Linked DNA regions of Alligator mississippiensis. The protein of the gene in region 1 interacts with the protein of each later gene in a biochemical or structural test. Links are inferred from orthologs where the notes say so. Each region holds a gene or a part of one and is shown on either strand. Other genes may lie near its edges. The genes, in order: PIAS2 and small ubiquitin-related modifier 3.

The links.
Region 2: the proteins of PIAS2 (region 1) and small ubiquitin-related modifier 3 form a complex in vitro, tested with the Homo sapiens proteins (2 studies listed by BioGRID, with this or other methods). The link is inferred for Alligator mississippiensis from reciprocal best matches to the Homo sapiens genes PIAS2 and SUMO3.

Annotation. Positions count from the first base shown.
Region 1 is NC_081826.1:290,937,153-290,944,567, forward strand, and holds the start of PIAS2 (E3 SUMO-protein ligase PIAS2), read left to right. Parts: upstream 1-4,367; 5' UTR 4,368-4,439; intron 4,440-4,450; exon of another isoform or gene 4,451-5,172; 5' UTR 5,173-5,281; coding exon 5,282-5,401; intron 5,402-7,415. Other genes in the region: KATNAL2 (katanin p60 ATPase-containing subunit A-like 2), read right to left, coding at 268-318. UniProt on the Homo sapiens protein: Functions as an E3-type small ubiquitin-like modifier (SUMO) ligase, stabilizing the interaction between UBE2I and the substrate, and as a SUMO-tethering factor.
Region 2 is NC_081830.1:33,435,915-33,443,169, forward strand, and holds the start of small ubiquitin-related modifier 3, read right to left. Parts: upstream 3,149-7,255; 5' UTR 3,055-3,148; coding exon 3,034-3,054; intron 1-3,033. UniProt on the Homo sapiens protein: Ubiquitin-like protein which can be covalently attached to target lysines either as a monomer or as a lysine-linked polymer. Does not seem to be involved in protein degradation and may function as an antagonist of ubiquitin in the degradation process.

The DNA.
Region 1 (7,415 bases):
CCACAGACCTCTGGCACCCTGTGCCCAGAACAGCCCCCTTCTGCCAGCCACACACTAGGGGGATCCTGCTGCTGCACTGCCGGGCGCCCAGCAGGGGGCGGCAGAGCGCAGCCAGCAGCGCCCCCTGAAGAGAACTAGGGAAAGGGGAGCAGCTCCGCGCACGCGCACTGCAGCCACCACCCCTGCGCATGCGCACACGAATAGCCCGCCTGTCTCCATAGTGACGGGGAAGCACAGTTAGCTCCTCCCCCCCGCGCGCGCACTCACCGCCTCCTTGACCTGGTAGGCGGCTTTCAGGGTCTGGTACGACAGCTCCATGGCGGGGAGGTACCGCTCCGCCGCGGGTTGACGGGTACGAGCCGCGGACACATTCGCTACCCTCACTGTTGAGGGGGAGATGGGCGGGGACGGGTGTATGCCGCTGACCAATCAGAGCGTGGGGGGTGGGACTTGACTGCAGCACTGACTAAACAGAACGGGGGACTGTCGGAAGAGGCGTCCAATCGTAGGCCGCCAAAGGAAAAAAAAAAAAAAGCGGCGTGCTGGAAGAATTTAACCAATCAGCATTTAGGGGAGACGGGGTGCTGAACGGACCAATCAGGAGGAGGAAGAGAGACCGGCGAAGGCAAGCGACGTTGCGCGCGTGCCAAGGACTTTAAGTTTGCGCATGCGCGGAGGTGATAGGTGACGTCATGGCTCCTGCCTTCAGGTCTCTTATTTTGCATCCAGCAATACAATGCTGCTGGGTGGACTGAGGGCGAAGTCGGTCTTGATCAACCTGTTTGGCTTCCCCATTACAGAAGGAAGCGCCTGAGACAACAGCAGGTGTTTCTAAGCCTTTAAAAATAAAAAAAAGGAAGGTTCAAAACCTGTTCATACAATTGCAAGATGATGTCAGGTCTTCACATTTGCAGATGCTTGTTCATTTCTGAAAAAAGTTTGCTTTGGGGCTGGAACGGTTCATAGTGGGTCTCAGCCCAAAGGTTGGGGGAATCTAGATCTACTTCCCATGAAAAATAATGCAGTCCTTTTGGTTGAGCTACATCTGGCAACATGACATTTTGCAGTTTGCAATTTTGAATGTGTAAGTAGTATGCACTGAGCAGGGTCTCAGCACCATGTAAAAGCAAATATGTTAATAAAGATTTGAATCCTATATAGGCAACCAAGAAGTAAACCTCTTGGAAAGGAAATCAGAGAGCATTCAAGTTAGTTTGTGGTCATCAGCAGGGCCTGATAAGGCCAATGTTGTAAAACCACAGCATTTTCTTCTTTCTAGACAGACTTTCTTTCTGTTGCTACTAGGTAATATTATGTGCAGTTTAAAATATACTGCTAAGTGCTCTCCAGCAACCCATACTTTCCCTCCCCTAAAAAAATAAATCTGGAGTCAGCCAAGCAACTCTTTTAGTCTTCAACAATTTTCATTTTATTCTACAAATTCTGATTTCTTTAAACTATTAAATTCAAGCATTTGAGTTGGTCTAATAAAAGAGATTGGATTTACCCGAAGAACCCTGGCTGCCTGATTCGAGCAGACACATGTACATGTACTCAAACACAAGAACAGCCCCATCGGCTTTAAGAGAACTGCTTAGTTTAAGCAAGCACACGTATGTTTGATTTAAACTTCTATTTTTTTCCTCATGAGAAGAAAAGGTAAACAGCACATTAATGTATTGCTGCCTCGTTAATGTAGCCATAGGAAAAATGTAACTCAATTCAAGCAAATAGAGTGGACCAGCCACAAGTACAAAGCAGTTTAACCAGTTAACTGGTTAAAAATATGATTCCACTCAAGTCAACATGTTCTCTCATCTAAGTTCAAGTAAAGTGAACTTGGAAGCTTAATTAGGACCTCATAAACACTAATATTAAGCAAAGAAATTTCTATTTACCATTAAACAGCTGTGTACATATGAATGTCATATTGAAAGAAATAGTTTGAATGTTTGTAAAGGTTGCCCATTAGCCAGTTTCAGGAAGAAGATAAGATTTATCTCCTTATCTAGTTAATTGTTTTGGGACTACGTGCAAAAGGTCCTGACTTTGCTTAAAGTCTTAATTTGAATCTTTTAGAAGTCTTTTACAAAGAGAGCAAATATCCTGAATTCCGAGAGATCAAACCCTAAGGCCTTTTGACCAGATTGGTAAGAAAAGGGCATTTGCAGTGATATGGAAGTTTCCCAAAGGTAATTTAAAATGCTCAACAAAGGCAAAAGAATCTGCTGAGTAAGATCCGAGCCCAAATTTGGGGGTAATGACAGATTGAGTAGGAGGAGCCCACTGATGGCACCTCACTCAATAAAAACTGTAACTTACTGTCCCAATTTGGAGGTGACTATACTTGTAGAACAATGAAGGAAGAATCGCAAGTGTAGCCCGGGTCAGACTGATCACCTGAACTAACCTCTCCGTGAACACGAATCTCTTAGTTCACGCTAAAGCTGCAGAGCACCCAAAAAGGACTGAAAGAAGGGGACTTAGTCCTATCAGTATTGAGGCCAGCCTATTGAATTGTATTGCTGAGGCGAGCCCATTCCATTGAACCGTACTACTGAGGCCAACCCATTAAATCGTACTACTGAGGAATGAAACCATATTTTGGTATTTGGCTTCTCGGAATTCTAGGATTGTAAGTATAATATGAAAAATAATAGTATTGATTCAAATTTAACTTTTAGTTGTAATTGTAGTTGTTTTTGTAACACTAATTCTTATAGTATTGTTTGGGAAGGAAGTGCATTCGGAGCATTGTTTCTGATATATGTAATTATTGTGTTTTTAATGTTTGTGGTGTTTCTTAAAGCCAAGCAGTGTTATATACGTAGCAAAGAGTTTTAAAATAAAACTGTGTTGTATAAATTAAGTGTGTAAACATTGTGAAATCGTGCAATCAGTTAACTACTCCCCCAGCCAGTGCATCAAAACGAATCAGTAAATTGTGTGGGATTTTCTCTATTCCATAACCCACTAGAGACAATGAAAAAGGCAACAGACTTATTACCTAGTGTGCATCAATGTGAAGGTTTAAAGATTAAAATCAAACACAAGACAAAAGTTTAATACTCAACAGTAACTTAACTTGGCCCAGATTACACATATATATGTTTTATTGGATAAATTGAATAAATAGGTATGTCTTCCTTTGGCCTTAAATCCAGGTTGCGTTAGAGAAAACAAACCAAGCTGTTTAAAAGAATGGTTTGTGTACAATTAGTAATCACCAGCTAAACCATATTATTACTTAGATTTAAATATTCTCTTGCTGTTTGCACCCAAAACTTTGCAGCTGTGCGCTGGTTCATGGGGACAGGAAAGTAAAATTATTCTATTCTATTTCATTATCAAAGCACAGCAGAGTACAAAATAGGCATTGGACAGATTCAGTATTGTTCTTAGCTTTTCCACAGGTAATAATTAGAAGGTAACAGCTACTACCCTTTGATTTCAACTTAATGCAGGTCCATCCCCTTATATTTCTTTTCCATGTCCAAGTGTTGCTGTTCTACTCGGCACAAGGGTCTGTCATGCCAGGAATAAGGCATCTTTGCAAATGAATGTATATCCAACAAAAATCAAAAGCTTTCTTCTGCTACAAATAACAGAAACAAAATTTGTTTCAGCCAAAGCACAAACTGACAATATAACCCATGAGCCAGATTACCCATGGCATAACACCTTGTGCAATAATTAAGACTTTGATGTTCAAAGGTACTATTTGGAATCAATGGCGGTTAGATGCCCAAGTACTTTTAAAAACCTGGTTCTAATACTGACTAAAGTGGGTGTTAAGAGCTACCTCATTACAATTCTCCTCTCACTTTCATTGTTTCAATGGCTCTGCAAGGTAATGAAGATCTGACCCAGAGCTTGCAGCTTCAAGCCTTTATGTTAAACAGCACATATGAACTCCCCCGTTTGAGTGCTCCATTTAGCCGCCATGGCTGCTTGTTAACATTCATCCTCCATACACTAGTTAATCTGAAGAAGCCAAAATGGGATCATGGAGGAATCTAATTTGTTGAAATGCTAGGACCAGCTATAGAGTTTTGACTATCTGGGTAGAACATGGGACTACAAAGCACTCAAAATGCCTCAGAAGTATGAGCTTTTGTAGGCAACAACCTACTTCATCAGATAGGCACAAGGGTATTCCTAGCATCTGATTAGGTAGGTTATTGCTTACAAAATTCATGCCTCTCTCAATCAGTTTGTTTCTAAAGTGCCACCTTGTCCTATCTTCTGTCTAACTTCAGACTAGTGATTTTCAACCACAATACTACAAAGTCCTTTGATAGATGCTGCAGGTGTGAGAAGATAAGCAAATAAGGGCAGGATCAGGCTTCAGGTGTGAAGAGAAAAGTAGATAAGGGCAGGCTCAGAGCCCTTCTATTTTGCCACTTCCTAGCCTGTGCTCTTGGTCCCTCTGCAAGGAGGTAAGCTGTGATAAGCTAGTTATTGAGAAGGGGTGCTGCTCAGTTCACAAAGGTTATGGAGGGGACCTAAAAAAAGTTTGAAAGCTGTTGCTTTAGACTAATGCATCTTGTTGTTTCTGATGATCTGAGATAAGGTTTTGACCCTGGTTTGTAGGCATTACACAAGGCTTATTTATACTGTTACATATCAGGGTTTTCTTTGACAATAAGGCTGTGGAACAGTCCACAGTATACACGCAGATATGGCTTAAGTTCTTAGAACAGCAATTCTCAACCAGGGTATTGCAGCAGCCCAGGGTGCTTTGAGATGCTTTCAAGGTTGCTGTGAAGTACCATGCAATGTTAGCACTATTAGATGTGCAATTATGCTTCACAATATAAACACAGAGACTTCAAACAGAAATCCAGTGTTAAAAAAAAGTCTGACCTGTTGTGAGATTTTTTGAGCCCTTTACAGTAGACAAATAGTCTTTTTTCTATAGTCAAAAAACAAGTGAAAACTAAGAGCTGGCACTTTCTGATGAGTGCCTGGAGTCTAATGAAGGGCACTGTTTAAAAAATGAATAAATAAATAAAAAGGTTGAGTGCTGCCTTAAATTATTAGAGACTTAAGGAAACTAGCATTTTTCTGGTAACAAGCCTACTTCTACAGGCACACTGCTTAAATAAGCTCAGCTTTTTGCTTTGAAAAAGTTGTACTAAAAAAAAAACACAAAAAAAACCAATTCTGCAGGTGTTGCCCATCTGTCAGTAAAGGGCACTAAGTGGCTACCTCAAAATGAGAGAGTTCTTGGGTGCTGGCACCTTTCTCCTCCTGCTGTGAACCCTTCATTGCAAGGTCTATGAAAACAGAGAGGGTCAACCATGTAAGAGATGTTCCTCGGGGTGCACGCAAGACCTACAGGAGGAGGAGAATCCACAAGAAGAAATGGAAGAAGCTGCCAAAAAACCCAACATATGAGGTGAGCATATTTAAAGTTCTGGAGCGTGGGAGTGATACAGGGCTGGCCTTGGGGAATATGGTGCTCTAGGCAAGCTTGTATTTCCCCAGCTTCTGCCCCCTAGTCGGTGGTGCTGCTGCAGGCAGAGGCAAAAGGGCAAGGGTGTGGGGTGCAGTCTGGCAGGGAGGCAGAGTGGCATGGTGCATCAGGCAATTAGTGTACTGTGGCTACCACCTGGGAGCAAAGCAGGTGCCATCCCACTGGCACATGCCTAGCTTGGCTTCTTCTGAGCAGTGACTGGAGACAGGTGGTAGGCTGGGCTGGGCAGTGCTCCTCCTGCCTGGAACAGGAATTGGGTGGGGTAGGGGGAGAGCCCTGCTCTGAACATGAGCTGCTCACTTACGTGTATGTGAGGCTCCCCTCCAACCATGCCTGCCTACCTGCAAGGCTGGCCTGGAGTGATGGATCAGGAAGGCGGCTGATGTCCTGGTAGATTGTTATGCATGGCTGGATAATTTGCCTGTTAGCTGTTTGTGGGATCTGTCTTTGCTTCCTATTTTAATAAATTGGTTGTTTGGTTTAACAGCACTATTGGCAATGAAAGTGAATGTTGTGACTAGGTAATTACCTCTGGCTGCTTTTGAAAATACACTTCTCAGCTGCACTTCCACATTTGTTTTTTTTCCACCTCAACATTTGTTTTTTTTCTGTAAATGTCTCAGCATTTCCCTTGCAGCATGAAACCCATTATCTAGTTTTAAAGTTTACCTCCAGTGACATTTTTGCTTCATTTTTTATTAATAAAACGTGTGACACTATCATTATTTGTTCTGCAGTGAAAATGCACCTGGTTAAATAGATAAAACGAAGATTGCTGTAGCATTGTTTGATAAGTCCAGCTTTTAAATATTACACTCCAACCATGGAAGCAGGGATGTTTGCTGTTTTATCTTCTCACATTAATGAAATATTATTACTTGGTTGAAAAACAACTATGCATCAGTTGAAAGACACAGTGCTATATGAAATAATAATGTCTTTTTTTTTTTTTTCTTCCCCCCCCCCCCCCCCCCGTCTAACACCAGCTCTGGCACTGCCTTCCTGAGACCGTGGGCAGTTATGTAGGTCCAGATCCTGAAAATAACATTTCTCCTTGCAGTTGAACATGAGCACCTGAATTGCATTTAAGACTGCAATTACTGTCCTGGAAACCTCTACTCTGTTTCTGCCTAAACCCAGAGACACTTGCGTTCTGTAGGTGCCTTGGTCTTTGATAGCATTGCCAACTCTGTTTGACTCTATTCCAGGAGGTTTCATCACACGACGTACCGACATTAATACACTACGCAGTGTATGTAGTTAGTCAACTAAAGAGATGACGCGAACGTGCCTGCTTGCATATATGTTACGGATTACGGTGTATAGACTTGGTCAGGAAGGGAAATGCACACTACTGTTACGCTTTAGAAACCCACTGGGCTACTGTATAAATCAGATTCAACTTTTAATATTAATTTTAATGAATGCCCTATCACTTATTTCCTGGGTGACTCCCAGCAGTCTCCTGGAGGCGTAGATCCAATTCCTGGGGGTTCCAGGGCAGTCTTGGAGGGCTAGCAACCCTCGTCTTTGTCACGGCTCCGCTTTGGTGCGGGCCTACAAAAACCTCAGGGCTGAGAGAAGTTTGACAGCCGTCTCCAACCTAAACCAGGTTGGGGTGCAGGAACTGGTAATCCCCCACCTCGCTTTCCCTAAGGGCCCCATTTTGGTCCTTTGGAGAGAGCCTGACCGATCAGGCTCCGTATAACATGCAGACGTGGTCACGGTTTCCTTTATAAGATGACCCTATCATCCCCTGCCCTCCGACCTGCTGCTCCGTAATCGAAGCGCTCGCCCAGGCTCAACAATAGGTTGGTACCAGGGCCGGACACGCCAGGCGGCTGCCTGCAGCCAGGACAGAAAGGGGGCCTGAAAGTTGCAATTGTTTTCTATTGTTCTACTATTATTAATAATCTCTCTGGTGAAGGGGGACCTA
Region 2 (7,255 bases), on another chromosome or scaffold:
GGAAGCCTGAACAATTAAAATGCATTTAAACTAAACAGGACCATTACAAACAAAAATTTCTGACATCACAACACTCTCCGGCCTACTTTGTGATAGCACTGGTATTCGCCTAGATGACATTTCTAACAAAGGGAACTTACAAAACAACTTTCATAGAAGAGCCTATGAACCCCACTTCATAAATCTACTGGATACAAAAAAAATCATGGACTCAATACAGACACTGGATTCATGACGCATTACAACCTGCCTGATATCTGACTCACCTGGTACCTGCCTGACCTGACCCTTTACATTCTTCCTTCCCTTACTTTGCTGCCTTTGTCTTCCTGATTTCCAACTATTTCCCTTTTCATTGACAGCCTCTTCCTTACCTTGTATTATTACCACTGTAGTGTTTTCCTTTGGCCTTTCCCCCCCTCCCTTCCCTGCTTTACCTTTTGTTTTCCAATTTTACCTAGTTATATTTTCACTGACTTCCTGTTATACTTTTAGTTTCTCTCCTATTTCCCTGGTCTTCAACTATTTCCTTTTTCACTAGAAACATTCACTTGAGTTACCAGCACAGGACAAAGTCAGTGAATAAGTCTCAGCCCAGACCAACAATTCAGGTTACTTCCTCTGCCATTACAAACGTGGGATTTTACTCTTTCTTGAAAAAGGCACAGTCATCCCAGGGCCCACCTTGCCAGGTGCAACCTGCTCAAAATTCTTGCAAGATGAACCCAAGGCATGCAGCAGTCTTTTCTAAAATTCTCTCTAGATGATGACTGCAGATAGAATAACCCAATCCAGACTTGAAGAAAATGATCAGAAGCACAGCACAACAGCTGTACTTGTAGAGCTTAATAAAGCCAATCCAGTGCTCCTGGGTCCTCTTGGTTCCTCCAGTTTAGGAAGTCTTTCTTCCCCCATGGATGGAGCAAGGACGGATGAAGATTTTGGGAAATGAAAGTTCAAAAGCTCACAGAATCCGGGCTTTTGATACTTGCATATCGTCCTACACAAGGACTTTAAGTCCGCAATCTCCACTTGTACGACTGCATCACCTGCTCTGTGCACGTAAGTAGACTGGCCAAAAAGAATCAAGAAAAAAAACCCTACTCTCTGTGAAGTCCAGCCTGTTTATAATATGTATATTAACAAGTTCCTGACCAAGGCCTCTTCACTGCAACATTCTAGCTTATTAAAGCATACGAGTCTGCAAGCAATAGATGGATGTTTTTATTAAAGTTCCCTTTGGTGGCATTATTTTTCAGGTGACCTCCAACAAAAAAAGCACTAAAGAATTCTTCAGACAATGAGTTCTCCGACAGGGATTCAAAGGCAAGTTTCAACCACCAGAGCTTCCAAAAGGATGCTACCAAACAAAGGGCATCCTCTATCATTACGTTTTGGCTGGGATTAAGGCAGAAGAAAGAGGGGAGGTTTAAAAAAAAAAAAAAAAAAGAACAATGTACTTTCTCAGGGGGGAAAGGGAGAGAGTATGTGGATGTCCTGAAAAAAACAAATCTCCCCATCCCTCCCAGAGGGAGAATAAACTGCGGGAAGGGAGGAGGGGAATTATTTTCTTTTATGGAAGTATTCAATTCACTCCCCAGTTCTCCTCAGTCACTGGGTAGTGAAAAGGCTGTATGGAGACGGATTGCTTTTGAATTTGGGGGAGGGGATTATTTTGTTGTGTTCATATTTTAATGCGTTTCTTCGCTTGTAAGTTGCCCTGAGCCCTTATGTGGAGGGTGGGTAAGAAAGAAAGGAAGTGCTATGCCTGAGTTGTGGCCTTGTTGGCTAGGACTTGTCCACGTTAGGCCGTACTGCACTGTGGCCAGCCAGCAAGAGGCTTTCCTACACCTTGCTGAGCTGCAGCACATGCAAGGAAAAGCAGTGGCAGAGCACAGGTGGCTGCCGGGGTGGTGGCCTGGTCCTAGCACCAGCCCATCTCATCTCAGAGCCAAGCTGGGCCATTCTGGCTCCCTGCCACAAACCCCTGCCGACACTGGCTTAAACTTTTCATCCTTTTCACTCCACCAAATGTAAGTTACTGTTAGACTGTTTTCTTTTACAGATGAGGACACCTCATCAGCCAAGTGCCCAGCGAAGGAAGAAATGACGGTTCAAAGTGGGCTCTCAGAAGGAATGATGAAGGTTTCAGGATGGGGCAGAGCCCCTCCATCACCCCAACAAGGAGCACTGCCGGGCACGATACCACGCACCACCTACTTAAGAACAACTGTTCGGATAGTAACACGCACGGTCTGCAGCATCAAGTTCGGGGATCTCTGCAGATCACAACAGCAGGAAGATTTAACCTAACCCTGGAAAGGCGGGAGCCCCATCCCTTGCTCTTCTCATTCAAGAGTAAGCTTTCTGAAAGATGACACCTGCTCCATTGATCTCCACGAGGTCCACCGCCAAGTACCATTTAATTCAACTCAAGAGTGCTACCTCGGCAGCCCCCTGATGCCAGCTTCGAGCAATGCCCCCTGGCCTCCACGGACTCCTCTAATTCGCACAGAACTGAAGGTTTCAGGGTTAGTCTGAGGCAAAGCAGCACCAACAGCCATCACTGCATGGGAGACCCATAACGAAGACTCAAGCCTGACACCGTGCAGCTGCTCATCCCTCAAGGCTGACCCGGGCTCTGCAGGACCACGAGTGTTGGTGCCCTAGAGCAGCAGGGCAGGAAGGGAGCTGCACGGGCCATCTCCAATTGCCCGGGGGAGGCAGCCAGGAGCCCCCCCCCGAGCTGCGGAGCCGGGCCCGTGACTGCGAGGTCGGGACACCTGCTCCTGCGCGCGCTTCCCGCGCCCGCTGCCCCGCGGGGCTCCGGCTCCTGCGGCCTGGGCGGGCCGGGGGCCGCGGACGCAGAGGGGAGCGAAGCGGCCGGCCCGGCCCAAAGGCCCTAACGGCCCCAACGGCCGTTCGAACGCGGCGCCGCCCCGCCCCGCCCCCCGCGGCCCGGCGGGACCCGCCTCCCGGGTGGGCCCGCGCGGCCCCGGGGCAGGGAGGAGCCGGGGCCGCCCGCGCCGTTACCTTGGGCTTCTCCTCGGCCATGGCGCCGGCGCTGAGGGGGGCGATGGCGCTCGCGGCTCCCGCTTCTCTCCCGCCGCAGCCGCTGGCGAGAGCGCGCGTCACCCCTCCCCCACACCCAAATCCCCGGGCCCTGATTGGAGCCGGCGGGGCCACGTGGGGTCGGGGCGCGCTCACGAGGCGCGCTCGCGAGCCAGCTGCCCGGCGGGAGCGCGCCCGGGCGGGGGCGGGGGCAGGGGCAGGTAGCGCGGGGAAGTGCGTCAGCGCGGGGCCGGAAGCGGCGCTGCGGCGGCCGGCGCAGCTGGGTGGGGGAGGGGCGGCAACTGGCACGTCCCCTCCCCCCACCGCGGCCTTTCCGGCGCGCGTGTATCTGCCACTTCCTCCCCGGTAGGGCCTGGTGGCCTCAACCCGTACGAGCTAGGCACCGAGCTGGCCTGCAGGGCGGCACCAGCGCGCGCCGGGCAGGCTCATGGCGGGCACGCGGCACCTCGCGTAGCCCGGAGTTGTCGCAGCCTGCAGGGGCCCTTTCAGTCTTGCACGCGGCGGACGCGGTGTGTTGCGCCTGCGGGCAGAGTCGGGGCAGCCGCTGGGTGCTGTTAAGACTCCCCTGTTGTGTGTGCGTCACACCTAAAGGCCTAGATCCCCGTCGGCCAGCATGGCCCTCTGCCCCACTGCCGCTGGTCCTAAACGCAGATGAGGCCTTCCAAAAGTCCCATCAGTGCCAGAGCCCCGATGCTGACACCTGAGCTGCTGGCTCCTACCATAAGCTTGCAGGGAGCATCTGGCTAACGAGGCTTCTGATCTCAGCCTGCACCCTCAGTTCTTGGCCGTCTGCTTTTCTGGCTCATGCTTGCAGATGCCACTCTAATGGTCTGGTTTCCGTGGCTCGGCTTGCTCGTGGACTTTTCTCTCCTTTTAATTTCCTGGCTTGCCTCTGTGTTCTGCTTGCCCTCTCCCACTTTCCTATGCGCCCACTTATGGTAACCTTGATCTCCAGTCGGTCTCCAGGTCTAGTCACCCGTGACCTGATGCTGCCAATCTGCCTGGACTACTCTTTGGCGAAGAGGGCCTGTTATGGATGCTTCTCCCCTGGTGGTGCTCTCAGACCCACCTGCTTTAGATGCCAATTCTCCAGGAGACCTACAGGCCATGCAGAAGTGGCTGATTCAGCTTGCCTCTATCTGACAAGCCTTGGAGCTTCACTTGCTGCAGTTGACTACTGCACACCAGACCCTTCAATCCCCAGTTGCCTGTCTTCAGGAGAGCTCCTGGTTGGAGGAAACGTGGCAGCTGAGAGAAGAGCGCGCATTCTGGGCCCACCTGGAACCCTGAGCTTGAGACCGTTACCCAAAAGGTACGATGTGAACCAGCAGCATTTCTTGGGATTCCTCGATCAATGCTGTCTCTTATTTCTGGCACAGCCCAGAGCTTATTCTAGTGACCAAGCAAAAGTGAACCTTGTGATAGACCTCCTGTTGAGGGAAGCCTTGGTCCAGGTCTCCCTGTTCCTGGAGCATAGCAGCCCAGTCCTCTAGAACTGGGAGGCATTTCTCCAAGCCATTGCAGCTATGTACAACGGTGAGCCCCACTGGGGCTGTACAGCAGAGTCTGCATTGTGGAACTTCTACAAGGAGTAGAGTGCAGCTGCTGATGATGCTTTTCTGTTCTAGCGCTACGTGGCAGACACCAACTGCAACAGCAGCTGAATTCTACTAATTCTGATAGGGTCCATGAGAAGAGGTAAAGGCTGACCTTGCCTAGGGGAAGTGCCCTCCAAACCTCGTGACTTTGTGGATTTAGTGATCTGCATTCTCAGTCTTGCACTCTACAGAAAAGGAAAGAAGAAAAGAGGTACTCTTTGTCTTCTCCTTGTCCCCGTCCTCTGCTCTTAAACCTGTGCTGGTAGATGGGGGAGGACTGCCACCTTACCCTGAGCAAGTGGGAATGACACTGCCAGCACAATTTGTGCTTCTATTGTGGGACATCAGGACATGTGCTTGCCTACTGCCCTACAAGAAGGGAAACATGCCTCCACCTCCTCTCACTCAGCCCTGCAAGGGGTATTGACTTGGGGTCAGCAATAAAGGTGAAACCTGTAGCCAAATCAAACTGCAGACCTTTCAGATAAGGTTACCTGTTCACCTGCAGATCACAGGCTGAGCCTGTTTTACAGCTGGTATTATCTACCCTACCGGACTTCGGGGCAACTAGAAATGTCATTAATGAAACCATTGTCCAAGCCTTACGTATCCCTTCATAACAGCTCAGGCTGGGAATAGTTGAGACCATTTCTAGCTCCCCTCTTTCATCAGGCTCCTTGGAGTTGGAAACCCTCACCCTTGATGTGGAAATCTGCAAACACAGGGAAACTTTGCTTTGGGGCAGTCTGATCCCACATTACTCCCTGATCCTGAGATCCTTCTGGCTTGCCTGTTATGGTCCCCTGGTCCAGTGGAAAAGCTATGAGGTGTTTTACATCCAGTTTTTGCAGGAAACACTTAAAAGCCTTGGATGGTTGACCCACCCTATGATTTCAGGCTAGAATCCTAACAGATAGCAAGGTAGATTTGAACCTTAAAATAAATACATTTCTATAATATAGCATAAGCTTACATGAGTTGGTTTATGCATATATATATTCTCAGTATAGTTAGTCCTTTAAGGATTCTGCTTGACTTCAGACTAACACAGCTAACTATGTATCCCAACAGATACTGTCCTACAAGGAGCTCTGTCTCTTGCAGCAAGATCTGACCTACCCCAACATTATGCAGCTGTTTTTGATTAAAAACCTGCTGAAGTTCCTCCTCCCTCCCACACTGTGTCTACAACTGCACCATTGTCTTACAGCCTAGGATCTCAGTGGACCACTCTACACTATGTCTGAGCAGGAACTAGCTGCCCTCTGAGAGTACCTTCAGGCATGGGCAGATCTAGGATTTTGAAAAGGGGTGCAGATGGTGTGACTGATTAGCATGTATAATGCAACACACATTTTTCTCCAGTTAAAGAGGAATTAGATGCTTTACTAATATACTAAAGGGCTAGCAGTATATTATTTAGTTTAAGGCCAAAGCAAAAACAAATAAAACTATTAGACTGCACTGATTTGCTAGATTCTGTATAAAGTTTTAAAAGATACCACAAACTAGGTAAAAAATAGTCAAAAGATATTATTTCATTAGCCCTTTAGTCATTGCAGTTAAATATACATTTCTTACTCAGTTTTGTAAACCAAAGCTAGCCTTCTTGAGTGGCCTGCCAGTGCCTCCAATACTTTACTGTCAGTCATTTCCTTATTAACCTGAATTAATATTACCACACCTGAGTTAAGGTTTTTAGCTAGAATTTGGGTGGAGCAGGAATGAAAGAGGGGTGCAACTGTATCACTTTGTCGCCCCCACCCCACCCCACCCCACCCCCGGATCTGCCCCCGCCTTCAGGAGAGCCCGGCCTGGGAGTTTATAAGAAAATACATATCTCTTGCCAGGGTCCCTATCTTGTTCATCAGAAAGGACAGGAGCCTCTGCCTCATTGTAGACTATCAGGCCCTGGAAAATCACCACCCAAAATCAGTACTGTCCCTACCTCTAAACCAGGGGTGGGCAAAATGCGGCCCGGGGACCAGATTCAGCCTGCCATTCTATCCAGCCCGTGGGGCCCCTAAAAAATTTAGAAAATTAATATTTATTTGCCCTGGGCTGCCTGTCATGCAGCCCTCAATGGCTTGCCAAAACTCAGTAAGCAGCCCTCTGCCCAAAATAATCGCCTGCCCTTGCTCTAAATCCTGAGCTACCAGATTGCTTAAAGGCTGCTTGCATAGTCACTAAATGTGATTGCAGTGGAGCATATAGCCTGGTAAGAATAAGAGATGGTGACAAATGGAAAATAGCTTTCTAAATTACAGTGTAAGCCTTACTGGCCTAATGGATAAGGCACTGGTCTCCTAAGCCAAGGACTGTGGGTTTAAGTTCCACCTGGGGTGAAATATGCATGTATGTGTTATAGGCTTACAGAAGGTAGGCTTCTGAGTGGGTGGATCTTGTTGTATCAACCTCATCTCCTTTTATAATCAGGTAACTCACCCCTGGATAAGAGAGAGGAGGTTGATACTGTCTGTATACCTTGACTTCCAAAAATCTTGATCTGGTATCCTATGATGTTCTCACGAGAAAATTGGAGGATTGCGGGCTTAACTGCAAGAAAGGTGGGTAAAAGCTGGCTG